Linked DNA regions of Arabidopsis thaliana. The protein of the gene in region 4 interacts with the protein of the main gene of each other region in a pairwise test. Each region holds a gene or a part of one and is shown on either strand. Other genes may lie near its edges. The genes, in order: ACA2, IREG1, NHX3 and CNGC10.

What was found.
Region 1: the proteins of CNGC10 (region 4) and ACA2 interact in a protein complementation assay, tested with the Arabidopsis thaliana proteins (one large-scale study listed by BioGRID).
Region 2: the proteins of CNGC10 (region 4) and IREG1 interact in a protein complementation assay, tested with the Arabidopsis thaliana proteins (one large-scale study listed by BioGRID).
Region 3: the proteins of CNGC10 (region 4) and NHX3 interact in a protein complementation assay, tested with the Arabidopsis thaliana proteins (one large-scale study listed by BioGRID).

The regions. Positions count from the first base shown.
Region 1 is NC_003075.7:17,681,413-17,689,310, forward strand, and holds ACA2 (calcium ATPase 2), read right to left. Parts: upstream 5,694-7,898; 5' UTR 5,397-5,693; coding exon 5,223-5,396; intron 5,103-5,222; coding exon 5,048-5,102; intron 4,957-5,047; coding exon 3,011-4,956; intron 2,930-3,010; coding exon 2,771-2,929; intron 2,692-2,770; coding exon 2,520-2,691; intron 2,433-2,519; coding exon 2,134-2,432; intron 2,053-2,133; coding exon 1,813-2,052; 3' UTR 1,447-1,812; downstream 1-1,446. UniProt on the Arabidopsis thaliana protein: This magnesium-dependent enzyme catalyzes the hydrolysis of ATP coupled with the translocation of calcium from the cytosol into the endoplasmic reticulum.
Region 2 is NC_003071.7:16,100,811-16,107,517, reverse strand, and holds IREG1 (iron regulated 1), read right to left. Parts: upstream 4,355-6,707; 5' UTR 4,156-4,354; exon of another isoform or gene 3,919-4,155; 5' UTR 3,916-3,918; coding exon 3,758-3,915; intron 3,607-3,757; coding exon 3,259-3,606; exon of another isoform or gene 3,227-3,258; coding exon of another isoform or gene 3,156-3,226; coding exon 2,673-3,155; intron 2,571-2,672; coding exon 2,399-2,570; intron 2,225-2,398; coding exon 2,087-2,224; intron 1,990-2,086; coding exon 1,879-1,989; intron 1,753-1,878; coding exon 1,588-1,752; 3' UTR 1,341-1,587; downstream 1-1,340. Other genes in the region: AT2G38465 (uncharacterized protein), read left to right, coding at 708-836, 1,000-1,125; AT2G38450 (Sel1 repeat protein), read right to left, coding at 4,835-4,872, 4,966-5,035, 5,194-5,502; SCAR2 (SCAR homolog 2), read right to left, coding at 6,667-6,707. UniProt on the Arabidopsis thaliana protein: May be involved in iron transport and iron homeostasis.
Region 3 is NC_003076.8:22,467,633-22,475,026, forward strand, and holds NHX3 (Na+/H+ (sodium hydrogen) exchanger 3), read right to left. Parts: upstream 5,075-7,394; 5' UTR 4,954-5,074; coding exon 4,789-4,953; intron 4,679-4,788; coding exon 4,560-4,678; intron 4,463-4,559; coding exon 4,365-4,462; intron 4,257-4,364; coding exon 4,197-4,256; intron 4,099-4,196; coding exon 4,052-4,098; intron 3,971-4,051; coding exon 3,776-3,970; intron 3,696-3,775; coding exon 3,649-3,695; intron 3,544-3,648; coding exon 3,477-3,543; intron 3,381-3,476; coding exon 3,280-3,380; intron 3,196-3,279; coding exon 3,094-3,195; intron 2,832-3,093; coding exon 2,687-2,831; intron 2,572-2,686; coding exon 2,509-2,571; intron 2,398-2,508; coding exon 2,314-2,397; intron 2,218-2,313; coding exon 1,921-2,217; intron 1,763-1,920; 3' UTR 1,613-1,762; downstream 1-1,612. Other genes in the region: AT5G55450 (Bifunctional inhibitor/lipid-transfer protein/seed storage 2S albumin superfamily protein), read left to right, coding at 1-242; AT5G55460 (Bifunctional inhibitor/lipid-transfer protein/seed storage 2S albumin superfamily protein), read left to right, coding at 1,066-1,381, 1,488-1,501; SVL1 (SHV3-like 1), read left to right, coding at 6,645-6,783, 6,983-7,276. UniProt on the Arabidopsis thaliana protein: May act in low affinity electroneutral exchange of protons for cations such as Na(+) or K(+) across membranes. May also exchange Li(+) and Cs(+) with a lower affinity.
Region 4 is NC_003070.9:130,725-137,916, forward strand, and holds CNGC10 (cyclic nucleotide gated channel 10), read right to left. Parts: upstream 5,201-7,192; 5' UTR 4,984-5,200; intron 4,599-4,983; exon of another isoform or gene 4,546-4,598; 5' UTR 4,493-4,545; coding exon 4,464-4,492; exon of another isoform or gene 4,395-4,463; coding exon of another isoform or gene 4,381-4,394; coding exon 3,858-4,380; intron 3,778-3,857; coding exon 3,565-3,777; intron 3,483-3,564; coding exon 3,187-3,482; intron 3,029-3,186; coding exon 2,917-3,028; intron 2,816-2,916; coding exon 2,579-2,815; intron 2,495-2,578; coding exon 2,100-2,494; intron 2,021-2,099; coding exon 1,690-2,020; 3' UTR 1,546-1,689; downstream 1-1,545. Other genes in the region: AT1G01335 (auxin-responsive endogenous peptide protein), read left to right, coding at 12-134; AT1G01350 (Zinc finger (CCCH-type/C3HC4-type RING finger) family protein), read left to right, coding at 6,008-6,092, 6,211-7,034, 7,124-7,192. UniProt on the Arabidopsis thaliana protein: Probable cyclic nucleotide-gated ion channel.

The DNA.
Region 1 (7,898 bases), on a different chromosome or scaffold from region 4:
TTATGTCCATTCCACAAAGTCCTTCGTGATCTTTTCATGTTCTCAAATCTCAATATATAATATCTTGGAAAAAAATTAATCAAATAAAAAGAAAATTTTCTTGTTTAGGAAAAATCATCGTTACTTATCTTTGATAGATAACTACTTTTACGAATTGACAATCAGTCGATCACGATAAACTAAAACGGATATATATTTTGCTCCAATAAGTTTTCTTTAGCATTATAGAAACCAACAACTTGTAGTGGAACTGTGGAAGTACTTTGGATCAATGATTGGATCTAAAGATGAAACCCCAATTTATACAGAAATTTGCATGTGATGTTTTTAAGTTAACGTACTATTCTACGCGCAAGTCAAAAGTGCATCGTACTCGTACATATAGAGGTAGATTGTTTTTTTTGTGTGTGTTTATAGGATTATTGTTAATATTTTCAATGAAATGCAGTTGAGAAAAAAAAAAAAAAACATATGTGTAATAGACTGAAGAAACAACAACCCAACGACTTGTTTAAGTGAGAAACAACTGTCTCATACAATACAACTTGGGATCCAAAGTTTTGGTTCCATTAATTAAAGCTTTAATTCCAAAATGATTAGCAACGAATTAAAAGACTTATTACAAACAAAATGCATTCTTACAAATTAAGAAGCATAAAGTACTGACAGAATATAATTAAAGATAATGTGTGTGTGGTTTAAGGCCAATGTTTTGTTGCTCTAAGAGATTATTCAACAAATCAAGAAGCATAAAGGGTCAAGCTTTACTTCACCAAGAACTAGTTAATGCTTCTGAATTTTCTGTTGCCTATCTTTCAATGAATATTAGTATGTCCCAATTGTTATTTTTTTTTTTTGCTTATTATCATTGAGTTAAACCATTTTGTTTCTGTTGGGTTTTGTGTAGACATATGTGAGATTCACGGGTAACACAATTTAGTTACAACTCTCACTTTGGTTAGGAGATGGATAAACTAATGACTAGTGAGATTGAAATATCACAAAAATAACTAATCTTTATGTAAATTCTATTTTCATTCTAGATATTAATTAGTCCTTTATTTATGAACATTTATTCACACGATCACAAACTTAAACAATTAGTTATAGAATATTTTACCGGTCTAATGTTCACATAGAAATTATAATTTACCTATACGCCTACAAGGGACAAATGACTATAGTATACTCATTTTTTCAATCTAAAAAATGGTTTTACTTCATAGAGATCCTAAATTGATAACATTTAAAAATGTTTTTTTCTTTTCTTAAAGAAGAGTCTTTCTTATTTATTACAGTTTTGAGATTGACAGGCTTTGGAATTGTTATATGGAATCAGTTTTGACTGATGAGATATGATGTCAGGAGAAGAGGCTCCCACTAAAAGCCATGACTTCATTGAGAGATTTTCTAAGTATATCAAATTACAGTCTGGCTAGATAACAATTTTGTACCCAAATAATCATTTTTCTTATTTTAACCTTTTGCTTCCTCTGTTTTTTCAATGTCCTTTTTCTGTATTTTTGCATTTGTCATTCAATAGAGACCAAATTTAGATTCCAAAAATGAGAAAAAGAAAGAAAAGAGAAGTGTCATTTCAAAGATACAGAGAGTTTTACAAAAATGGAGGAAATCAGATATTTGTCCTTAATAGCACTAATCAAACTGAAAAATAAAAGTCAAGAATAAAAAACAGAGTCATTGCATAATGCAAAAACTTTGTTAGAAGACTTGTCCGTTCTAAACTTTGAAGTAACTGGTCTAATATAGAGATCTTTAAAGAGTGGTTTCGAGCCAATTTTGATGGAACGATCAAACGGGAATCGTCTTCAGTCCAGCGGCGATTGGCATACCCAAGAAACCTATGAAGATACTGAAGATCCATTGTGTTATTGTGAGTGGTGTTGTGCTTGCAAATGTGCCCAAGAACTCGATGATTATGATCTGAAAGAAAACCGTTGCACCGATCACAACCACAAAGACGTAATTGTCCAGTATTCCTTTGAAAACATCGATCTCTTCCATCTCTCGCGAGCTTATCTCGTTAAACACCTGGAGTTTTCAGAACCAAAGTCATGTCAAGAATCTATCTTTATAGCTCGAGTATTGTTATCAGTAATCTTTGTTCTTTACCTGACAGAAGACGAAGCAGTTGAAGATAAGAGTGTTTAACATGAGAGTTGAGTCAGGACCGTCGAGACCAAACATAGCCTTCCCTTTGGCTTGGAGAATCCAAATTACGATGAATTGGTAAACAGCTTGTCCTAAAATGTTCCTCCACATCGCATTAGTGATGAAATTGCCTCTCCTTCCAACAGGTAAACGCTTCATCAGCTCGTCGTTTGGTGGCTCTGTAGCTAAAGCAAGAGCTCCAAGTGTGTCCATGATCATGTTCACCCACAACAATTGAACAGCAGTTAAAGGAGCACTTCCTGAAGATTATCATAAGAGCTGTGTCAAACAAGGAATCCAAAATGATTCTTTTCGAGACATTGAATTGGTATTCTTACTAAACCTACCGGTTAAACAAGCTGAAGAGAAGTTAACAACCAGTGCAACAACATTAACGGTAAGCTGAAACTGAACGAATTTCTGGATGTTTATGTAAACAGAACGTCCCCATTTAGCAACTGTGACGATCGTGCTGAAGTTATCGTCGAGAATGATGACATCAGCGCTCTCTTTCGCCACCTAAAAGGTTATACAGATAGAAACTTTTAGATTCTTTAGCTCTCACAAATGACATAACAAAATCTTATCATATACTCACTTCAGTTCCAGCAATTCCCATTGCTAGTCCAATATCAGCTTCATGAAGTGCAGGTGCATCATTTGTTCCATCTCCAGTGACAGCAACAACTTCATCAAACGTTGTCCTTAACTGTTTCACAAGTGTATGCTTATCCATTGGTGAAGAACGAGCCATCACCTGTATAAGAACATAGGAAAGGTTATGTTTCAAAAACTAAACAAAAAAAATTAAGTCTTTAGTTCATGAAACAAAAAGCACCTGAATCTTTGGAATCAGTTCTAGTAACTCTTCTTGATTCTTCTCTCTGAATACGGGACCTTCGATGGCTATACCGTCATCAGTTAAAATCCCACATTCTCTAGCAATTGCTTTCGCGGTGTTAATGTTATCTCCTGTAACCATCCTCACAGTGATTCCAGCACGGCGACAAAGCTCAACAGATTCTTTAACTCCAGGACGTACGGGATCTTTGATTCCCACAATCCCTACGCAAGTAAATCCAGAAGCCGGGATTGCATCATCCGGCGAAAACCCGCCTTCAATATCCATATAAGCAAGGCAAAGAGTTCGAAGAGCTTCATTAGCAAACTCGTTGATTGTAACATTCAGATACTTGATTGATTCTTCATCAAGTGGAACAACCTCACCGCTCGAGTTTACAACTTTGTCACAAGCAGCTAAAACAATCTCGGAAGCTCCTTTCGTGTGAGCACGCATACGTCCTCCCTCAGGAAGCTCGATTACAACTCCCATTCGCTTCTTTGTGGAGTTGAAAGGCTCAACTTTGATCACTTTGTAAGACTTCCTCTCTTCTTGGAACTTACCTCCAAGAGATAACCCCAACTCTAATATAGCAGTCTCTGTTGGCGTCCCCAAAAGCTCGGTTTTCCCATGTTTGTTGACAACAACTTCGCCTCCTGTGTTATTGAAAATCGATTGAATCAACAACTTCACCGCAGATTCCGGGATTTCTGATTGCAAGCTAGAACCTTTATTTGCTACATCTTGCACATTCATGCAAATGCAAGACTTCACAACGGTCATGTGATTGGTTGTGAGTGTACCAGTCTTGTCACTGCAAATCGTCGTTGCAGATCCCATAGTCTCACATGCTGCTAAATGCCTCACAAGAGCTTTATCGTTCATCATTTTCTTCATGGCAAACGCAAGACTTAGAGTCACAGCTAAAGGCAATCCTTCAGGAACCGCAACCACAACGATTGTCACAGCAATAGCAAAGTATTCCAAGAGCTCCAATGCTTCATCACCAGACCAGACCCAGTGAGTTCCCGTTGAAAGCTTCCTCATAAACATTCCTTGCACCAGAACCGCGAAAGTAACCACCGCAAAGAAAAGACCAATTTTGCCAATGATGGTAGCAACTCCATTGAGTTTCACCTGCAGTGGAGTTTCATCATCCCCTCCTTCGGTCAAAGTCGCCATTAGCTTTCCCCATTGAGTCCTCATCCCAACTGTAGTAATCATCATCTTACAAGATCCATCTTGCACTTTGGTTCCAGACATAAGGAAAGGATTCTGCGCATTCACCATCACAGGCTCACTTTCACCAGTCAAACTCGATTCATCTATCACCACAGAGAATCCCGAGAGGAAAAGACCATCAGCAGGAACCTGATCTCCAATCGCCAGATGAACAATGTCACCAGGAAGCAAGTCGTAAATCGACAGTTTCTGTCTAAACCCGTTCCTTGTCACCTGAACAGTGATCTTCTTCTTCTCTTTATCCAAATCACGGAACTGCAAAGACTGGCGGTAATCGCTAGTAGCTGTAACAAACACAACCAAGAGAATACTAGCCGCAATGCCAAGACCATCATGTGATCCTTTAGGCCATCCTTCAGTAGCTATCCCAACAATCAAAGACACGAAAGCACAAACACCAAGAATCATAAGAGTCATATCCTGAAGAGCTTCCCATACAAACACCCAGAAACCCCTCATTTCGCTCTCTGCAAACTTGTTGATTCCGAAAAGCTCTTGCCTTTGGGATAACTGAGCAGCCTCAGTAGAAAGGCCATCTGTGGGAGATGCCTTGAGCTTACCTGCAAGCCCATCAACTCCACCATGGAACTTGAGCTTCTTAACATCATGACTTTCAACAATTGATCCTAATTCGTCAGCACAAATCTCAAAGCCAGCAGCTTTGACATCTTCAGGGACAGTGTAGTCACTTGGAGAAACACCTACAACAAAAACTCACATAAACAAACAAACAAACAAACAAAAATCGAAACTTTGACACAAATCAGCAACTTTGATCACATATAAACTCACCAGAGATAAATTGGAAAGCAGCTTTGGAAACAAGAACAGCGATCCTTAATTTCTCCTGTATATAGAAAGTTTTTAAGATCCTTCATCGCTATACACAAAATCCATCTAAAAGTTCGAAGATTTCAACAAAATCATTAACAACGATGACATAGAAGAAAAAGAAAAGAGACAAAACCTGGTTGGTGCGACGCATCGCGGCGGCTTCATAGCGTTTAGAGAGATTAGCGGTGAAACGAAACCGACGTTTAGGGTTCTTAACAACGCCACAGAGATTACGCCATTTCTCAAGCACTTCCTCTGAAGAATGCTTCGCTTTCACATCGAAATTCTCGTTTAGGTAACTCTCCATCTTCTTACTCCCTCTTCTTCTTCAATCTCCTCTGTTTTTTTTGTCTTCCAGCTTCAATGGCTTTTTTGTTTGGCTCTCTGTTTCAAATTCTTCTGTATATTTGGTGGAGAAGAAAAAAGGAACCTTTTTATTTTTTGGTGGGTGAAGAAGAGAAATCGGAAGCTTTTAATGGAGAAGAAAGGTAAAGTTTTTTTTTATTCAAAGATCTGAGTTTTTTTTGCTTAAGCATTTGACCGAGTCGTTGAGTTTATTAACATTTGGTGATGAGAAGCTGAGTTGACTCGTTTTAAATTCGTGTGTCCAACAAAGTTTCTCTTACATTTTTAATAAAAACATTCGACTTATTATTGAAGAGAATAATTAAATAAAGACATGCACTACTTTCCATTTATAACGAACGTTAAATCATTCTTGAAACATTCATGCAGGCCATGACGAGTACATTACGCGTTTATGTTATTATTGTTGAGTTTATGATTGGTTTTTATTCCCAAATTTGTGAATGAATGTGGACATTTTATAATTAAAAAAATTAGAAGATTACAGAAAAAAAAAGGTTTAAAAACTAGTAAAATACTATGGATGAGTAAATGACGTAATTTTTAGATTTACTCAATATAATATATACTGTATAGAAAAAAATGGAATATAATATACAGAGAGTTTTAATTGGACCATATTTTGCAAGATTTTTCTAAGAAGTTTACCTTTCGTAGCTTTGGTTTTTTGTTGTTTGGCTGCTCACGTTGATTTCACTTTGACCAAATTGAATGACAATTGTGGGACAAAAGTGCGGTGATTTTTGACAATAATAAGAAATGGGGTCGTTTATATAAATAAAGAGAAATTGGAGGACCGTTGACCCAGAGACTATTGCAAAAAACCCGACACTTCGGGGACGCCACGTTGGACCAAGCCCATTGGTTCTATTTGGACTCAAAAACATTGATTGCTTTATGTCTTTTTATTATTCGTTTGGTACTAATTGCTTATGTCTCTGTTCATCATTCTAGTTCAATAACTAGTGTTTTTTATTCTTCTCCAATTGAATAATGCGTTTACCTTGACTTCATGGAAAATGACACTTTCAAAAAAGTTGGACATGCAGATTTGGGCTTAGAATGGGCCTTTATAGGCCTTGAAAGCTATTAAGATCTTTCTTTACACGGCTTTGTTTGCTTTATTGGCCTTTAGGGCCTAACAAATTTTGGGCTCTGGTATATGTTTGCTTCTCTAAAATATTTGGGATGCTTTTGAGAAAGAAAAATAAACAATAAAACTGTTAATCATTTTTTTTCTTTAAGCGATTCTGCTGAGTTATGTGTTGGACAGGCATTGGAACAGCTGTGGGATGACGTTGAAGTTGCTCGTGTGGTTGTGGTCTCCGATTGTCACTCTGCCATGGGAAGCTAGTTCGTTACCCCATAAGTTGCCAAGATTCTGTGATCTGCTGGATAAAATTCACAGTTTAGCCATTACCAAAAAAATAAAAAAATCACAGTTTAGCAACGGTTTTGAAGGTTGTAATTTCACTTGGTCGCGGTTCGGACTGATGTCACTGCTCCTGCTATCGCTAAAAGTGTGACTAGGGAAGGAAAAATTCAGTTATATATGGGACTAAGAAAACCAGCTTGGTTTCATATTCAAGTGGTGGACGAAGTTCGTTGATGAGATATTTGTTGTGTTACGAAATCCATTAACCAAATAACATTTTGCAATCATAAAAAGTTGTTTGAAAGAGGTCTAGACGTACGTTGATGACCCATAAATTTGTGTAAATTCACAAATATATATTTTTCGGATGATTCTACACATATCATATCAACCTCCATGATTTTGGTATGCCGTACAATTTTTAAAAAACTTTAGCCGGTGTCACTTATATGTAGTTTTAGTGGGAATAGTCATGTCAAAATTATTATTTTGAGTTAGGTTTGATTGAGTTGGTTCTAATAATGTATGATATTTTCTACATCATTTGCTCTACATTGTTCCGATTTAGATTTTACAAAATGGTACGAAATTGGTCACCTAAAAGTCTGTTTTTTTACCTTTGTGTGATTGATGGGAGACCTACAGGTTTTTTTTGTCTATGGCTTAATTGAAGGATAGTAGAATATTTTTGTAAAAATATTTGATCATTTCATTACTAATCGAAAAAGATAAGTTAACGGTTCATTTCTGGGGCTAAACAATCCTAACCATGGGGAAGATGTTTTCTCCAAGTATATAAATCTTAATTAGCATACAGGCATGCATAACAACCAAATTAGCGAATGAATATGGGTTTATATGCGAGAAACAAATTAGGGTCTACTGTATACATAAACAATGTAATTATGCATTTATGCTATGGCTGTTTGGTGTTGTGTATAAAACATAGTGGCACATATAACCGAAATTATTATCGACTATATATATATATATATATATATATATATATATATATATATATTCTTCAAAAGATTAAGATGGGACTTTTCCTAGAATGCAAGAACAGAT
Region 2 (6,707 bases), on a different chromosome or scaffold from region 4:
AATGTAATAAGAGAATTACATATTGTGTATATATGTATTTGAAGTAGCCATAAATGTTCTTATTGAGATGTCAGGATGTTTGTCTTCCATCACTGCTACCACGTCTGGCCCTCTTCTTTGGTAGTCGTCTCTGTTTTGTACATAAAACCTTACTCAGTTTGTTGTTTCCTTAACTAGTCTTGTAATATTTGTTATTTGCTTTTTTTATCTAGACGTCCTTGTTTTATATAAACAGTCTATGTACGTTGTATTGTACAATGTTTAATATCAATAACAACACCCTTTGGCAAAAAAAAAAAAATTACATATCGTGTCAAGCATAGTAGTGTAAATTGTAAATCGTTTAGGTATATAAAAGTGATCAGTTTCTTATTGCACGATATGTGGTATGGTTCTTCACGTGGAACCTAAATTAAACGTCATGGATTTTGTGTCGCTTTACCGTGCAAGTTGCAAACTATGCAGTGTTTGTTGATCCGATGACAGTTTCTTTCTTCAGCCCAAAAGCCCAAAAGGCCCAAAGTAAAATAGCCTCTTGCTTTAATACACGTCGGTATCTCTACAGCTAACACGTAAAACAGACGTGGCAAGAGTTGCTTCCAGAATCATTAATAGTTAAAAAAAATCATCATTGGCACAAGAAAGTGAGATATTTCCTAGTCTTGCTTTCAAGTTTCAAGCAATCTATCTATCTCGAAAAAGCAGCGATGCAAGACGCCGAGACATCACGACAGCCGGCGAAGTCTTTGTCCGATCGAGTGAAGACTAACTGTTTATCCATGGCAGTAACATGCCAGGAAGGGTTTAGCTATGTCAAAGCCTTTTTTGTTGGCCAGGTGCGTATACAAGAGTCTTGTTTCGAGCCACTGAAACAAGCGGATCAGAGACTCATGGGTCTTCTTGAATCAATGATCACTTGACGTATTTGGTGTCTCGTTAATTTCCTTATTGATTAGTTTCATTTTGTTATAATCTTTTATTTTTATTTTGGTTTGGAAGACAAAGAGATTGACGGCAAAGAACGAGAAGGAAGCTACGGAGGCTCATCTAACGGAGACAAAAATGCAAGTTGACGCAACCGATGAAGCAGAGAATGCCAAGAAGAGACTTCATCAATCTTCTTAATGTTTCTTTATTAACATATAATAATGGAGTGTGTACTTTATTAAGCAAACACAAATATCTGGGAGTTTTCAACTGTTTCTACTACTAATGATGAATGTTATTTCAGTATTGATTTTTAATACAGAATTCTATTCCCAAAAGATAAAATGGAAAATTTTCATTGTTATTATAGAACTACATAAAAGTGAGTTCATACAAAACAGAGTGAATTCATACAAAAAACGGAGGAAAGTTGTCTTTAACACATCACAAAATTGTCACTGAAAGTTGTCTTTAACACATCACAAAATTGTCACTGACCTATTTTGTGGGTGTTTTCTTTTGACTATATCTTTGACCTATTTAACCAATCATTTAAGCCATTTGATTCATTTTTGGCTGCTTTATGGTCATGTCATAAAACCACCCCATTTCTAGTTATCCATGTCGGAGAAATCGTGGCACATTCCACAACATTATGAATTACACGTTTCCACGAGAAGGGAGCAACTTGAATATACATTTGTTCAACAAAGGAATCTTCTCAAGATGAAAAATATGGTTTCTTATGCGGTAGAGGTGAATTGTATAGAGCATTCCTGCCAACGATACTGTGGAGAATGAGATCAACGTCAATATCCAAAAATCCTGAAATAAAAAAGTCCATAAATATTATGACCTTGATTGTATGAAAACGTAAATTTTGCATTTGATGGATAAAAAGAGTCATTATCTATATATGGATCCTTAGAATATAAACTGGAATTTATTTACCTTTGGATTGGAGACAATGATACCTAAAAGATATGCCATCAAGTCAAGAGCCGATTGCAGTGAGTTCTGAACACCTCCAACCACACAACGGTCGGATTCTGAAACAAGATCCTAACACATGACCAAAAACATTACGAAACGTTCTTATTATAAGTCTTTAAAGAATACGTGTGCTGTAACTATATAAGCTAAAGAAATGTAAACATACCTGCATTTGTTGGATGACGGCAAGATCAAACATCCACAAGCCAAGCCTTGAAGCAGCAACTCCAGCCATTAGCATGTAAGATGCTATTTTATCCTTTTTAACCCAAATCGATCCAACGCAGACCAAAAGGCAGCTCCACTGTATGAACAACAACCCTACTTTTATGACTCTTTTGTTTTACTCGAGTTCCATAACATGGTCAAGTACATATATGATACACTTAATATCTAGTGAAGAATGAGAAAAAGACTTGTTATAACCTGTAACCAATCAGATGAATCAAACCATAGGTGTGTTTTCAAGTTGATATACCTGAGACCAGAAGGACCAGAGGCCGGTTCTCAGAGTTGAGAGACGCGATTGCATTAGCGGATACACTAATGTAGCCGCTAGTCCAACCGTTGCACTTATTCCCCTGCCTATACCGATGATATATGTAGGTATACCTTCCCACTGCAATGTAGCCGTCATCAATGTTCCAAAGCTGTGTCAAGGTGGTAAATAAAACAACAATGATCCACATAATCGGTAGGATATGCATGTTCATCTGAGGACTCTTAAACATATAGATAAAGAGAAAAGGAACCTGAGGACGGTGAAGAACAAGAGAGCTAGAGAAACCCCGGGGAGGACAACTTCTTGATTGAAATAAATTCTCCATGCGCCAACAAAAGAGGACTTGGACATTCTATCCAGTATCACCAAGATTCCGGTTCTAGACGGAGGGTTTCCAGTATAACCCTCCTCTGTTCCCGGAACAATAGAAACAGAAACAGGTGCATCTCTTCCTTCTACTTGCTTTGTCCGGGAACGCAAGATCCGTCTCTCATTGCTTCGTGTTATTGCAGGAACACCGCTATACACAGAAATGAAGAGCCAATATTCAACCCAAGCTGTTATAGTAGCCCAAGCTGCAAAAGTGATCGCTGAAGCCTTAAGTGAGACAAAACTGATGATCAGACCAGTAATGACTGGAGACAGTAGCTTGGAGCTCAAATCAATGCCTCTAATGACAGAATTCATTTTTGTCAATACTGCTGGTGGATGACCTTCAGACATAACCACAGCCCTGTTGGTTGCCAAAAGAGCCAAAAGAAATACATGTTGCAAATATGACACTATACATAAGATTGCATTCATGTGTTGCAAATATATACAGTCTAGACATTTACCAGTCTCGTTCGATCAGAATGGTGCCAGCAAGAGTCGAAAGAACTCCAATGGCGCCAGCAAGATTCGTTAACACAATCAAGATTGCAAACACCGGGAGATTCCGGGACTTAAGATCAGAAACTAGCAACAACTTGATGACTGCACCACCAGCAATAGTGTAGGAGAGGTTCTGGAACAGGAGCCAGAGTCTAAGAACTTTAACGTAGTCCATTCCCTCGACCCATTGCCCCACAATGGGACCAAAGATTGCAGTAGAACCAGATTCTATAGCACCATAAATGGCAGCGAGAAGCAGAGAGTTTGGCCACAAGTGGATCATATACAATGCAACAGAGAATTCCCATGTTCTGCATCACAAAACCAAGAAAAGAAAGTAGTCCATCATCTTCAAAACGTCTAACACTAATACACTATGAATAAAGTTTTATATCTTCATACAATAAAAAAAAAAAAAAGAGTTTCAAAATAATTGGAGATAAAGGATTGATGGAAACCTACCTGGCACTCCATCTTGCAAGAAAATATCCAACGTAAAGATATATCACGAAACGACGTCGTAAGGCTGGTGGTGGGTTTTGTGGCTGTGATTCATCTTCTCCTTCTTCGCGTTGTTGTTCTTCCTGATGAACAACCCTCAATTCTGTCTCATTCTCCATTTTCTGCTGGAAAGTCTCGAATTTAACATCGATCAAGCGATTAGGTGTTGATTACGTATTGAATTCCAAATGAAACATGACATCTGTAGATATTTCTACAGTCATCATTTGCATGAGCGTTTTAGTGTGTGACAACAAAGCCGTCCTCGAGAATTGCGATAAATATGAACTGCCATATTAACAATAGTTTATCCTGAAAACAAAAAACGATGATTCTAGGAATAAATGAGAAACAAAAACCTTATTTTAGCGCCGCAGAAATAGCTTTGTTGATCGAATGATGGAAAAAGAATCGACGAAACTCAGTATTACTTTGTTCTAGAGTGGTCCTATTAATATTGGTGATTCTATTTCCAAAGGGATGAAAATTTGTTAGTGGAGCAAAAAACAGATTCCCACTAGGCACTGGGAATATTTATGGTTTTGTGTGCAAAATGACTATGATACAATTACATTATTTTATGGTTTTTAGATTTTAAGATTGGTTTAAGAAAACAAGCCAGTCTTTCCAATGCCTATTCTAAGTCATCGGAGAAATTATAAGTTCGTTGTTATACAAATCACTTATCGAACGAAATGGATCTAAGTAGTATAAATGGATGTTCTTCTTCTGAACTTTTTTTTACCCCGCTGATATTGTTTACTTTGGAGTTTGGAACATAGAAAAAGTAACAAAACAATACGAGTACCTTTTTTAACTCCTTTTCATTGCTAGAATAATCATACACTGTGAGCAAAGGCATTCACCAAAATTTAAACAAAATAAAAAAAGAAGACATATTTGAGTAATAGAGCTACAAAATGATTAGCAAGCATCAAAAGATATGCGCAGAGAGAAGATATTGTTCATTGTTGGAACTTGGATCATCCAAGATTGAAACAAAACAGAACAAACACAAGCTCTCTCGATCAGGACATGCTAATCAGACTCTGAATCTGAATCACTTGCGTTGTAACCTGAGAAATCACAAAAAAAACAAATTCATATCCAAAAGCAAAAAAGAACCAATTTGTTGATAAACCAATTTTGACATGTAATAAAACAAAGACCTGGTCGTTTATCTATCACTTTCCACACTGAAGAACGAACTCTTGATGCTTTCGTAATCCAAAGTCTCCCCTAATCATTAATAAAACACAGAATCAAATTCAAAAACCTAAAAAAGAAGAAACTTGCAAATCAATCTAATCAAATTAGAGAATTTTCAAATCAACCAAACTAAAAAAACCTAAAACTTGGAAAAGAAGAGATTGAAAGGGAGGGAATAAAGACGAAACCTTTCTAGCATCCTTAGGGACTCCATACCCAGAGTAATACATCTGACCTAACAAAACCTGCATAGTGATGTTCCCAGCTTTAGCTTCCTCAAGAGTGTCTTTAAACCACCGCTTCGCACAATCAGAAACCACCGATGAAAGCGGAACGAAACGTCGTGTAGTTTCGCTGGTGGTGGTGGTGGATGATGAATCTTTGTCGGAACTGTCCATGGAGGAAATGGGTCGGATCGGTTTTGAGGATTTGATGAATCCAGCTACTGCTGCGGAAGCTCCTCTTAGCCCTGTTTTGACGGGAATCGATTTTCCCATTTTTAATTTATAAACATAAAAATAAATAAAAGGAAAAAATCGGTTTTCTTCTCAATCTCTTGTTTGGTTTTGGTTTGGTCTCATTGTATAAAATAATATTAAAATATCTTATGGGCCTAGCTCTTAAGCCCACTAGAATTTTTTTATTTTTTTCCCTAGCCCACTAGAAATTAAGACTAGCTCCTTGCTATTTCATAACGGTTACTGAATAAAGAGCTCTGTCTATATAAAGGCCATCATAAATTCTTCACAATTGCATTCTTTCGCTCTCGTCTCCTTGTTTTTTTTAGTAGCATGAGTTCGTCTAAGGTTTTGAGTTCAGACACTATAACGGTAATCAAGAATGATATCTCAGGATTTTTCACTCTCATATAGTTTCTTTTAGCCCTAACGTCTCAGGTGTGAACCCGGTCGAGGCTGTTGCTTATGGTGGTGCTGTTCCGGGTGGTATTTTGCGCGGACGATGTGGTCTGATCCCGATAATCAAGTATTCAGACAGGATACAGGTGGTGCCAGCCGAGAATAGAGATCAAGTATTAAGTAGGCTTCCAACTGATTTACATATGAGGATTGAGGATTGCCATACTTCCAATCCTCCTTCTCGATCCAACTACTCTATTTGGGTTCAAATTGAAACTCAGTTATGCCTGCAAATGATTTTTGTGAAGATCATCCTATTGGTACTAAGCAAGCAAACCATCATATCATTTCAGTCCTCTAGAAACCAAATATTACCTTTGAAGTGTGTGCAGTGCACTAACTAGCTGATTCTCATAGATATTCGTTATCCAAATGACCAAATATACAGTCAAAGGACACTGCAAATGATTGAGAACACACAATACATATCTATGTATGTATTCAAATACACATACATAGCCTACTAAAAGAATGTTCTATGAGCTAAAAAAAAGAACGAAACATTCCTACACACAAATTTCCGTAAAACTACTGCAAATTTCGGAATCTACTTACATTACAACATACACACACCTATAAAACAGTACACAATATACATACATACATATATAAATAACCAATGACTGTATGTATTTAATGTTATATGTCTGAAATAGAGATTGTATAACCTACCTGACTCCAAGTGCTTGCGCACTCATCATGATACAAGAACGAACACCACGGAAAAGCCAACGATCATCGATTTCAAGAATCACTCCAACTATCTGAATCTTCATCCTCGTCGC
Region 3 (7,394 bases), on a different chromosome or scaffold from region 4:
TGAAAGAAGCTACAAGCATTCCCGTTTGCAACATTGACACAAACGACTTGGCGAAATGCCGTCCAGCCGTCACTGGAAACAACCCTCCACCACCGGGACCGGACTGCTGCGCAGTGGCCAGAGTTGCTAATCTACAATGCCTCTGCCCGTACAAGCCTTATCTCCCCACTGTCGGGATAGACCCATCTAGAGTCAGGCCTCTTCTTGCCAATTGTGGTGTAAACAGTCCTTCCTGTTTCTAAGGTAAAAAATCAAAGTAACCTCAGGATTTTCTCACTTGTTTATGTAAAGAGAGAAAATCTTACGTTTGTTTTGTTGTTCCTTCTGTAACACGCAGCATGAAGAACTGAGCTGAAGTCAGGCCCAGTCTCCCACAGACTTTGTCTTGCCCTGAAGTCTCTAAGCTATAAATATGTCTTTTGCTGTTCTGATTCGCATAAATATCAACTTTGCAGTGATTTTTCAGTCACCTTATCTATTATATAGATGAACCATGTTCTACTATTAATGAAATGAAATAAAGTACTTGTTTTTTTGCTAACTCCATTGTGTACTACTTTCTTGAGTATTTAAAAATTGACTCCTTATGTATCTTCCGTGCAAAGAACCCAAATCATAATATTAAGAGATGTAAAATACATTTGACAAATAACAAAATAACTAGGCATTTGTAGTTGACAATATTTGAAAGTGACTACACAATATGATAGCATCTTAACATTACTTTTTAGATCTAATGTTGTCTTAATCCATTACTAGTAATGTCGAAATGTACTCTGTTTCTCACATTTTTATTAAATTTTCATTTATGAAAAGAGAGAGATAGAGCAAAAAAAAAGCCAATAAGTCTCCCACATGTCTCTTTGCAACTTGCAGATATTTCAACTCAAAAGACGACTTGACTTGACTTAAGGTCCATATCATACTTATGGTTGAACCAAGAAAAAAAAAGAGACGACTAGACTAGTAGAAGACTAATGAGTCTGCAACCCATACCATACGCTCAATCTAACTTGTATAATAAGCTCATTAGATTTAAGGATCATATGGAATAGTCAAGAGAGAATGGATACGAACAATACCAGAACTGTGAAATTTGCAGCTCTTGCAATAGTTTTAGCCGCCTTGGTGTTGATGGAAGAACCTACGAGCATTACCGCATGTAACATCAACGCAAACCATCTGGAAAAATGTCGTCCAGCCGTAATTGGAGACAACCCGCCATCTCCAATCAAAGAGTGTTGTGAACTCCTCCAAGCCGCTAATCTGAAATGCATCTGCAGATTCAAGTCTGTTCTCCCCGTTTTAGCGGTTTACCCATCTAAAGTCCAGGCTCTTCTGAGCAAATGTGGCCTGACAACAATCCCTCCTGCTTGCCAAGGTAAAATCAAAATACCATTAAGATACTAAAAACCGGTAGACTAGTAGGATCCCAATATGAAGTATGAAGTAAAAAAGGCTTACGTTTTGCTGTTCTGTAAGTGCAGCTTTGAGGAACTGAGATGGAGACAGACCGTTCTAGCAGACTTCACTCGAACTTGTCCTGCAACTGATCTGAAGTCTTACAATATGTCTTATGTTCCGATCCAAATAAATTACAAACTCGCAGTAATAATCGCAGCTTGTGTATATAGAAGAACCTTGTTGTATACATTTAACAAAAACTTTAAGAAACTGTTTTAGCTAAACCAACTATCCTACTTTCTTGACTATAAAAAAAACTAACTCATCATGATTTCCCCGCGGAGAACCCGGATCAATTCTGCAACACAAAAAGAGAGAATTGTTCGCTTATCATGATGAATATTGTAGGCACCTCTTCCCGGATGTACTTATTAATTCCGGTTACACATTATTGATCAAGTGAGGTGCGTTTGCTGCAAAATGTATAAATTTGTGTGGTAATAATGGAGGGTATACCTAGCATTCTGGTTGGTTTTCTCGACGAGGTCCACCGAAGATAGGCCTCATGTATGTGTCGTCAAACTTTCTCCAGTAGCGGTGGATGGTGTACACAGGTTGTTCCATCAGAAGGGAAATACTATCTTTAGCTCTATTGAAGTTGGTGGAAGCAGACTCGTCAAAGGAAAGAAGAGGAAGTGTCGCATCTTCTTTCGGAGAACCTGGCTCAGTGCGTTTACCTCTATTTCCGGTGTTGTGACTTGCATCTTGAGGAAGGAGATAATTCACAAGTGGTTTTGTGAGGAAACCAAAGACCTGTTTGTTACATGACAAAGAAGTCATTCTTTTGATCTTAACACAGAAAACTACCAGAACCAGTAGGGCCATATACTAAGGTAGTATTTGTTTTACCAGTGTAGTAAAGAGAACAACGATAGTGGTGTTGGTGACCATGGCAGCATTCACAGGATCCAATGTAACACCGGAGTATGTGAACTTGGCACATGAAAGATATACCAAAATGAGATATAATGGAAATGTTACTAATTCAATGTAAAAGTAATACAATAGAGATTAGAGATAATATGAATGTGCAAAGAGAAAAACCTGCTTGAAAGCCAGAGCAATTGAGACAGCACCTCGCATTAGACCTGCCCACCAAATGATCACCTATAAAGTATACAAAGAGAGAATTATATAACAGAAACTTTCCCATTCTCGGACCATTATTAATTTTTTATTTTAGTGCTTCTGATAATGTAACTGTAACAAACAAGAGCTAAACCTGATGCTTAAATGTGATAGACTCGTTTCTTTCAGTGTGCCTGTTCATGAAATTTGTTAAGACCGAGAGTGGAAAGACAAATGCTGCTCGTCCAAGCAATACTAATGCGGTTATGACACCGGAGACACCCAGAGTACCCCCAAAGCTGCAAGAAGATGATTAATGTTACAAGTCTTCATTGGGAAGAGATTTCAGAAACAACGAGTCACCACCACAGCTTAACTAACAGTTAATTGGCGATTAACTTCGTGTCAAGAGAGAAGAAGACATAGAGGATGTCTTTGGGATAATCTTGATTCTAGGTATGCATTTAAGAAATACACGAGGTTCATATCAAAATGCTGTGTATTGTTTTGACAAAACACTCTAAACGCTCTACCAGCTGATAAATGGATACGACTTTATACCTTAAGCTGCTTGTCTTCCACTTTGTAAAATCAAGAGCATCTGTTCCAACATACAGAAATATGAATGTCTCCGCAATAAAGGACAACATTGCAAATACATGCCTGCAAAATATAGATGCACAGTCAGACAAAAGCAATTCCTGCAAATTGAGACTTCAGCGAATAAACAATTGTCTGATACATTGCCTGGAAGTGATTCTTGAGCTCTCTGTCACGTTATATGATGCATAATGCGACATTAAAACACCACAGAAGAAAACAGTAAGAATTCCACTTAATGAGAAGAGCTGCAAGAGAACAACTATATTGAGTTAAAACAGAGAAATGCAGCACTTCAATTCCAAATGAAAACTAAAAAGTAGCGTTCATGACCAGTGTATTACCTCAGCCAACATATATGAAAGGTAAGCCATTAGAACCATGATGGCGAGTTCGCGTGTAGTAGAATGTCTGTCAGCAACCATATAACAAGATCAATATAAAGGCACATCTTATCACTAAAAAAAAAAAACTTAAGCTTGAGATGAAAAATTTGCAAGTTTGGTGTACTTTTACCTTCCAAAATACAAGGTTTTAAGAACAAAAGATGTTATTAGCCCCACCTGCAAGACATTCACAGTTCTAAGATTACTCATGATATGCTTCAAACAGAGTAAAAAACTATGCCAACTCAATAGCTTACACCAATTCCGAGAAGTGTGCTTGTTGAGAAGAGGTACAAAAAGTTCCCAAATACTTGCAGCGCCGTCCAACCGGTTAGGCTTTCAAATTGAATCTTTTGCACGGCGTTGAACAGTACAACTGAGGTTGCATCATTCACCACTCCTTCTCCAAAGACTAAGCTGTATAGCAATGGTGTTTCATCTTGATGGAGAATCTGTAAAAGTTTAAGATGCAATGTAAGAAAAAACTTTTAATAGAAGAAGTAGTAAGACAAAGAATCTTCTAAATCAAGAACCTGTAGAGTGCAAACAGTATCAGTTGATGAGAAAATCGTTCCTATGGCTGAATCAAAACAAGAAAGCATTCACTCTCGCAAACTGATAAGTAATAACCATCTCAACAAGAAATGAAAAGAAACATAGATCAGTGAAAAATCTTACCAAGATAGTCTCTAGCACTCAACCCCTTAAATCCCAACTTGGGAAACAGCCACCAAGTCCCTGGTTCACATTATAAAAACAACAAAAATAGAGATGGTAACAACTCCGAGATAATCAACTTTAAATCATATAGTCAAGTCATTCAAAGATTAATGAAATATTTTTTACCAAACGAGATAATGACAGTGGAGATGAAAACTCCAATCACACCAAAGGACATGATGGTTAAAAAGTTGTGAAAAAACTTCTTTTTCTTAACTTGGAACCTGCCACAACAAACCAAAAAATCTTCAGTCAATCACCATCATAGTGTAATCTAACCCATTAACCACAACATAGTAACCAAAACCATAGTAAGCTTACCCAGCATTGAAGATTATTGGAGGAAGAAGGTAAATGAAGAAGAGTTCTTCATCAAACACCAAAATATGTGAACTTTTTCCTTTACTAATAAGTAAGATCACTGTTCCTGATGCTGCTCCCTACTTGCAACAAAACCAATCAAAAATAGTGATAAAATTGTTCTTTAAGAGCAGAAAAGCTCAAAACTTTAGCTAAAACAAAAAAAAGAAGAAATTTTGAAGAAAATTACTACTAAAATGGCGGTAATAGATTCATTAACCCATCGATTCTCTTCAAGCAAGTGGCCGATAACTAAACATAGACAGAGAATGGCGATGAACACTGAGATTGGTATCACCTGAGGATGCTCAGCTGCTAGTTTATTCGTCACAAACTCTGTTAATCCGATACTCATTTTTCACTCGATAATGTTTTCGATTTCGTCGATTTTGAAAACACCAATCGCAAACGAAGAAGGCACACAGAGAACGATAGAGAGAGAGACGAGGAAAGAGTCAGAGAGTGAGGAGAGATTTGAACTGCGATGAACAAGGCGGTGGTTACAGGTGGCGAGGAGACGAAAGACACGTGGCATGTTTCCAACGTCATCAGACTGAGTAAACGTGAGGCTTTTTGGAATTGTACTGCATCTTGGGCCTTTTTAGGGCCCAAAACTAACTCATCATGTATTTTTTTCTTACCGGATTTGGGGATTTTTTTCTTTTTTCTTTTTTGGGTCTAACTAACTCGCGTAAATTGTTGTTCTTTTTCCTTAATTTATTTTTACCTCTTGTTCTTTATTCTGTTTATATAAAATTATGAAACTTGAAAACTCAATATTTATTACAACGAATTATTTGGTGAAGACTCGAACCAATCGAAATAAAACACTCTACTGAGTAACGGTCCCGGTTGCAACAGCCAAGACGCTAGAACGTGATCGTTTCGTTTGGTCGTGTTTTGATGACGTAAAAAGTGACTCAGCGACCTATTTCACCACGTGTAATCTTTAACGACCATGTTCTAGGACCTACCTGACTTTTAATCGATCATCCACCACCGCCTTCTCAACATTTTTTAAGATACTAGTATCATTATAGCTATAATATAAATTAAGAAACTTGTAAATATTATAATTAACGTGAAAACATAGAATTCGGATATATAATGTGTATATTAGATAAATAATAAATCTGCTCATATGTGATATGTATATGCATATATCATATATGTAAATGTAGCCATTATTGGAATGCGTATTGGGTAATGGGTAGTATCACTAGAATGATACAATTTTTCTTATATACAGAGAAGAGAAGAGGAAACAAGAAAAACAAATACGTTCCCCGCAGTAGACTTTTTATTTGTTGGTACCGTAGAGGAAAACAGATATACACCAATTACTATAGGAGTGATTAAGGGAGAAATTGCAGGGATATAATTGATATCTAATAGCCGTTTCTACACTAATCCTAATTATAACAAGACCAATGATTGACACATGTATATTGCAATTGCATGCATTATATAGTTTATTATTATGCTTGCTTATAGTTTAGCTGGTTTTGGAAACAAGTAGGTAGTAATAAAGAAAAACAAAGAGAGAGTAGGTCGTAATAAATGAAGAACGCATAACTATAAAAAATAAATACACAAATATATGTAAAACAATTGTTTGGTTTCTCTAGGTTGGAGACAACCAATCAAAAAATTATATTCTAATTTAAAATAAAACTTATTTAGTTATCCCATGAAAATTAAACTCTTGTATTCTCAAAAAAAAATTGAGTCAAAATTACACTCCCAATATTTTCTGTCTGCAATAAAGATATGGAGACACATTGAAAAACATTTTAGTTTATTTATGAAAAACCAAAAAAATAAAATTTTAGTTGATGTTTTCTTTTTAAAGTGGAAAAATGTGTCAAAAACAAAAAGTCGAAGTTCTTTTGTTTTCCCTTTTAAAATAATCAACGATCATATAAATTCGAATCCCACAAACCAAAAAGCTCTCTCTCTCTCTCTCTCTCTCTCTCTCTCTGAGTAAATCTCAGTTTTTGGTCGAAGTTGGTGAAGTCGCCGCCGGGACAACTCAGGTTGTTACAGATGATAAACATGCGAGATAATCCAACAATGCATGTCTTACAAGCTTCAAAGTTTCTATTTTTAGCTCTTATTTTGATCCAGTTGCTGTCTACTCAACTCTTTGCTCAAAGATCTAAAAGTCCATGGCAAACACTCACTGGTTAGTGTCTTCTATCTCCTTCTTCTCCTATTTATTCAATACCCTTCACTGTTAATCAATAAATCAGTAGAAAAGTTGCTTCCTTTTGAATCGTTTCATAGAAATCAAAGAGAAAAATTTGGGGGTTTTCTGAGTTTCATCCAAAGAAAAATCGAAGCTTTCTTATAGGTTTCATCGGATTTTGTTTCCATTTTTGTAGGAGATGCTCCCCTTGTCATTGCTCGTGGTGGGTTTTCTGGGTTGTTGCCAGATTCAAGTCTCGATGCTTACAGTTTTGTATCGCAGACTAGTGTTCCTGGTGCTGTTCTTTGGTGTGATGTGCAACTAACGAAAGATGCAATTGGACTTTGCTTCCCTGATGTGAAGATGATGAATGCTTCCAATATTCAAGATGTTTACCCTAAACGGAAAACTTCTTACTTGCTTAATGGAGTCCCTACTCAGGATTGGTTCACCATTGATTTCAACTTCAAGGATCTGACAAAAGTTATCTGTAAGTTCACGCGTCTTTTTGAGCTTTAGTATACATTCTAATTTATTGGACTAGTGGATACTAGTTGTAGAAAGATCTTATGTTAATTAGTTTATCTATGTTTTAGGGGTAATTTGTC
Region 4 (7,192 bases):
TAAAGTCGTTAATGGGCCTAAGTGATTGTCTTATTTATAGGCTTGTTGTTCGCTGCTTTTTGGATTATTCTATTTGTGCCCCTTTCTACTTCTATCACAAATTCATGCTCTCTGCGTCAGAACCAGTTTTTTAAAAAAGTAAATGCAGAAATGGTAACTTAACTGCCCAGTTAAAAGAGTCTAAGAAATCACGTTATTAGGTATTATATGGCTCAAAAATGTGTATTTTGTTTGAAGCACGAGCTTGTTGGTCCAGATATTTTTGTATGTTTCCATATAAAAGCAAGCTATAATTAGTTCAAACAATCACACGTTCTTTGATCATTAATTTTTTTTAATCACAATGAACATTAAGGACTCTTAACATACACGTTTTTGTAAGCAAAATCAAATTTTATCATAATAAAATAAATAAAGGTTTTTTTTATGTATGAAGAAAATGAGAGCAGGCGATTTTGTCGTCCAGTAATGTTGGCAATGGCAGGGGTCACAAGTGGAAAGAAGAAACAAAGATGCGGGACCATTTGTCTTAAATGGGTCCCACGTAAAATGGGTATTCCAACGAATCGGAGCCGCACACTTTCTTAACCTGACTGCAATCAGACGGTGCTAGATGGACCACGTAAAGCTGCCTCCTCCCGTTATCCTATTCCACAAGTAACCAAACGAAATGGCCAATTTGTCCATACATTCTGTAATTCTTTTTTCCTTTCCGAAGTAATGTATTTATCGTTTCACTCGTAAATTTTTGTAAATATATTATTCATATGTTGAATATTATGTAACTTTCATTCTTTAGAAATGATAATCTCTATACGAAATTTTAGCATGAAACTAGATTATAATTTGGTTGACCATAAAAATGAACAATGAAATGGATTAATAGATTTTTCCGAAAACAGGTTAATCTTACGATCATGAAGAGTGATAAGGTTTAACATTATCTTCCACTCCGATCAATCTTACGGAAGAAGAGATGAATTTGGGGATTAGCATTCTCTCAGGTGGTTGTTGATAAAAAAGAGATGAAAGTACTCTAGGGTTACTTGTAGTATATATAAACGCAAGCTCAATATGTTGGTCTGCTTTATACAGGAGCGGGACTTAAAAAAAGGAAACACTGAAAACCGACATACGAAAGAGACGTTGATATTATACCGAACAAAACCAAAAGGAAACATTGGTTGGTTTGCTTTGATTTCTCAAGGAAGAAGAGAGAATGAGTGAGATGTTGTTGGAGATTAGCATTCTCCCTCAGGTTTTCATTATTAGGTTCTTCCAAAATAAAAAGGAAACTTTCGATTGTTTCCTTCTTCAAGAAAAGACATAAACGCAAAAAAGTTTCTTTAAACTCGGGAGTCAAAACAAGTTTAAGTAAAGTCCTAAACCTGACAGACCTTCTAACACTAGCCATTCTCTCATAACCAACCCCAGTTTTGCTATGCATTAGCTTGAAAGCTAAATATGCTTTTCCCACTTTCCTCAATGCATTGATCATCAGATCGAGTCTCTAACTATACCTCCATGTGTGATGCTGAACTGAAGTAGCCAAAGTTAAGCGGCGCATAAGAGCCAGCCATTATTTCAATTTCTGTTAGTTGATAAACAATTTTTTACATTTTATTGGTTCAAAGTTCAAACCATTGTTTTTACACTTTATTCCACACACTATACACATGCAAGAGAGATCTAAGGGTCAGTTGTATGATTGGCGGTGAAGTCAGGCTCGGTGGGTTTTTGAGGTAGCAAAGGAAGAGTGTAGCGAGGAGGAAGGTTGGAGATATTGTGCCTCAGATTGTGAAGCGCGTTTGATGCGAAACGCGACGCGTAAAGAGCGCCTCCAAGGCTCAAGGACGACGACACGGTTGCAGCATTGTGTTCTTTATCTTGACTAGCGAGCGCTTCTCGGAGACGATCTTCTTCATCGCGTAGTGACTTGGCTAACTTCCTCCGACAGTATCTCCTCCACGCTGCTTGTATAAAAGACACGCTCCATGTTCTCCATTGCACTGAGTAAAACCTGTATATATAATCAAGATCCGGTTAAGAAGATCCAAAACCGAAAACAGAGCCAAAGAAGCTGATGGGAGTGACCGAACCGAAAAGTATGTTGGAGTTGCTTGCTATGGAGGCGTCTGAATTGTGAAGCGACAGACTTGAGATCCTCAGCTGTGAGAGCAAAGGCTTCGACTTCAGTGAGAGCTTGAACTGTTCTTGTCGAGATGGGAAAGTGAGAAGAAGATTGAGGATCTAATGCCCACGGGAGAAGATCTTCTCCGCAGAAATCACTTGCCTTTAGGTTCACGGCATTGAAGAACCCACTTCTTCCTCCATTAGTGGTGGCACTTACCAGTCTTCCTCTCATAACAAACAACATTTCCCCAACAGGATCTCCTTCACGGATCACGTAACTGTTCTCGGTGTAGAGCACAGGTCTTAGCCTATCGCAAACCGCGTCAAGTAACTGCTCATCCATTATCTCAAACAAAGGTACCTACCATAAACATCATATAATTTGGATTCTGAGGGTTCTTTAGTTCAGTTTATGGAAGAAAAAGAGAGAAAGCTTGTTACTCACTTTCTTGAGGAGATCGAGGCAAAGATGGCGTTTAATATCTCTTCTGAGGTCTTTAGGGAGGTTACGAAGAAGGGTTTCTTCTTCAACTCCTCTTGTCTCTTGCCATCTATATTGTTCATATCTTCTGATACGTTTCCTCAGGTCTTCAGGTAACATTCTATGAGACATCCACTGCTCTGCATCTCTCTTTCTCACCCTCATTTCCTCTTCTCGAACTGTTGTTGACTCCAAATATTTCTGCAACAGCAAACAAAAATTACATGCGTGTCCTGAGTAACTTATATGTAGCATTATGGAACAAGTCCAGAAAATGAGAAGCGATTATTTGAGGCTAATACCTGCATATTGCCGATAAGTAGAGCAAATAAGACTAGTCCAGATATGCAGATTGATATAGCAAATATGATTTCACCAACGAATTTGCTAGTTTGGAGATTCTGTCCCAATGCACTGCAACAACAAAAGCAACTTGTGAGAATGATGACTTGTTTAAATTGTGACAGATATATATGCTTAAGATGCAAATATAAACAGGTCATTTCACGGCTTAAAATCTCCAAATATAGCTAGTTAGTTATTGTCAACAGTTTTATGTGTGTCTTACAAACCTCAGATTTCGAAGACCCCACCAGAAGCAGTAGAAGAATTTCTTCCAGAAATCATGTGATTCAACAACGCCACTCTTAAGAGCATCAGTGAAGATGCCAAAGTTGAAGATGGTTGAGTTTGTTATATCACCAGGGTCGAGAAATGGGCAAGAAGTGGTCAGGAAATTGTTGCTAACGTTACGATCGTTTTCACAGTAGAGGAATTTCATATTACAACCTTTTGTCTTCTCGCATGCCTCTTGCCAGCATCTGTCTTCTCGTTCTACTGAGATTAAGTACCATAAAGCTCCAAACACCTGAATAAGTAAGTTTAACATATAACCTTTAATATGCATTTACATGTATAAAGATTCAGTCATCAAAAGATCCGAAACTCACATGACTGGCTAACATATAGAGAGAGAGGTTCCAAGCAGCTCCAGCCCATGCTGTTTCAGTAACAATGCCAGATGTTCTTGTCACTTCAGTGTAAAGCGGATACATACGGAGAATCCGAGGAACATATTGAGCAATTATGGAAAATTTAAGGTAGTCTTTTGTTAGCAAAGAGACTGGCTGGTTGACGCTTGGAATAACGGCTAAAACTACTATCTGCAAAAGTTAAGAAGCCAGAGGATTCAAAAAGAAATGATCATTGACATTTTGAACAAGTAATCAAACTAGTCATTTACCTGTGGGAGAGGAAGGATAGAGAGTAGATCAATGATGAAGTAAGAAGAGAGATACTTTAAGGCTATTGCCTTAGCATCATCTACCAGTTCACCTCTTCCAAAAACCCGCGAAGAAGGAGCGATGTAAGCTGTCCTGAACTGAAACACAATGTGAATAATGTAAAAGGCATCGATGAGCGTACGAAGCAAACTCGCAGCTATCTCCAACTTTGAGTCCAAAGTAAGACAGTGCCTTGCGCTATCGACAATGGGAATGTAGAAAAACAATGGATCAATCGCCAAAGCAACCACACAAGCAAATAAAAATATTTTGTTCCAGTTCTGGAGAAACGAATCCTGCGGGTTTATGATGTTCTTCCGAGTAACACTAGATGTTTCCTTGTGGTCAGGATCCTTATGTGAAGGGAAACTCAATGGCTTCTTGAATCCCCATTTTACATTCTTGAAAACTCTATCTAAAGAAGGTCTAGCTTTTCTTCCATAACCATATTCAGAGGATAATGGTTTGCCTTCATCTTTGAACCTAAACAAAATCATAAGAAAATGAGATAGTAGAAAAAATCATTCAACTATGAACTGTTTTCAAGATTTTCTGTAACTACCAACCTTACACGATTATCATGGCTAAATGCCATCAGCCAAACCCTTGTATATTTCAACTGATCTTTCGCTTACAGGGTGACGAGTCCTAACATTATAATAAGAACCAAAACTTAAGACATACGAATTCTTCTACATGATTACGTACAATGATAATCCCCAATACCAATTAAAAATAAGCAAGTAGACACCTAACTACAAATACAATTGTGTTGTGTGTATGTGTTTTTAAATATTTCTTTCTTGAAAAGGTTAATTAGAGAACCTAGAATCAGTCAATTTCCACCTAACATTAGATTATACCAAATCCTGTAATTCCTACCCATTCCTGCTCAATAAATGGAAACCACACGAACAACTTAAAAACACTGTTCATCAAAGATAAGAAATCCAAATTTCAAAAAACCATTGACCATAAACGAAAGACATATATCTAAGCGTTTCGGTTCTGAGAAACAGCAAAATAAATTCAGACGAAAAAGAACAAAAACGGAAATCGGAATCAAAATTCTATCATCAAACTAACCTGAAACGAAGTAGGTAACGGCGAGATAGTAAGATTCGGCTAATAAACGGAAGTCGGTGAACGGCGTTTTCTTCAATTCAAGCAACTGGTCCCGTCGTCGCTGGAAAGAGAGAGAGACTCATATGGCGGTTACTTGTATCTCTCTCTGTATATTGTTTCCTGGAAAAGTAGTATATGAGAATTTTATTATACGACAAAAAGGGAGGGAAAGAGGAATATTATGCAATTAAATATTATAAAGTCTGTTCAATTGAAAATCATTTCATAAAACAATTTCATTCAGATGAATGACTTGGTCAAAGTCAGACGGCGAGAATAAGCAAGTTGCCAAATTTTAAGTACCGGGCCCATTATGAATATTGAGCCCATTTAGATTCATGACCCAAAATGAAGTAACCGCCCCACCATATGTTCCTTATTTCTTTTCTCTTCACACTGATTTATTTTCTGTCGGAAAATACGGACGGCGTCGTCGTTCTTTTTGACGGTGTAGCTCACCGGCGTCGATTTTTAGATTTTTTTTTAAGGTAACATATTCTTCCTTGTGTTTAATCTCCATACTTTTGATCTACTTTTCGTTCTTGTTTAGTCTTTAGTGTTGTTCGAGCTTTTGTCTCCAATTTCAATCAATTCAAAGGGTTTTTAGATTCCAAATTTTGTAGCTTCCGTTGACACATCGAGTTGTCGAACTGTGTTTCGGATTGATCTGTCTGGAGCTTCTATTTCTGCTTCCTTATCTACTGTGAATGAAATTGCCACCGATATAGATAGTTAGCTAGGGTTTATTCGTGAGCTCGCGTAGATGAATTAGGAAGAATTCAGGTGATCATTTTTATGTTGCATTGTCTATTATTGTAACTGAATCTGGAGAAATTTTGATAAAATTGTTGTTTGACTCAGTGCAAACAAATTTACAAGTTTTCAGGAAATTGACTTAATACTAATCTTGAATTTTGCAGGGAAACACTAAGCAGCAAATTACAAGTGGGTGATTTGTGTTTGTTACATAGTCTTATATCTAACTATGTCAGATTCTGGTGAGCCTAAACCTTCTCAGCAAGAAGAACCTCTACCTCAACCTGCTGCCCAAGAAACTCAGTCTCAACAAGGTTACATATACTTCCTTCTATCTCAATTCTAGTTGTCGTCTCATTGAGATTTTTTCTTGTTCTTCGTTGTTAGCTAGAAATTTTCATTTACACTAATCAAATCATTCTTCTGTTTCAGTTTGCACTTTCTTCAAGAAGCCAACGAAAAGTAAAAACATAAGAAAAAGAACCATTGACGCTGATGAAGAAGACGGAGATTCGAAAAGCGAAAGCTCTATTCTACAAAATCTAAAGAAAGTTGCAAAACCCGATAGCAAGTTATACTTTTCTTCTGGACCATCTAAGAGTTCTACTACAACGAGTGGAGCTCCTGAGAGGTCCGTCTTTCACTACGATTCATCCAAGGAAATCCAGGTTCAGAACGACAGTGGAGCAACAGCAACCCTTGAAACTGAGACCGACTTCAATCAAGACGCACGAGCTATCCGTGAGAGAGTTCTTAAAAAAGCAGACGAAGCATTGAAAGGGAATAAGAAAAAGGCTTCTGATGAGAAGCTGTACAAAGGAATTCATGGATATACAGATCACAAAGCTGGGTTTAGAAGAGAACAAACAATCTCGAGCGAGAAAGCTGGAGGCTCACACGGGCCATTAAGAGCTTCTGCTCACATAAGAGTGTCGGCTAGATTCGATTACCAGCCAGACATTTGCAAGGATTACAAAGAAACCGGATACTGTGGATATGGAGATTCGTGTAAGTTCTTGCATGACCGTGGGGATTACAAACCAGGATGGCAGATAGAGAAAGAGTGGGAAGAAGCAGAGAAAGTTAGGAAGAGAAATAAAGCTATGGGAGTTGAGGATGAAGATGATGAGGCTGACAAGGATAGCGACGAAGACGAAAATGCATTGCCCTTTGCTTGCTTCATTTGCAGGGAGCCTTTTGTTGATCCAGTTGTCACCAAATGCAAGCATTACTTCTGTGAGCATTGTGCTTTAAAGGTATGATCATCACAATTACGAGTCTGTTTTTTTTTTAGTTGTGAAGAAATGTGTGAAACTAGCGAGTTTTGTTTAATGTAATGATGCAGCATCACACGAAGAACAAGAAGTGCTTTGTGTGTAACCAACCAACAATGGGGATTTTCAATGCAGCACAT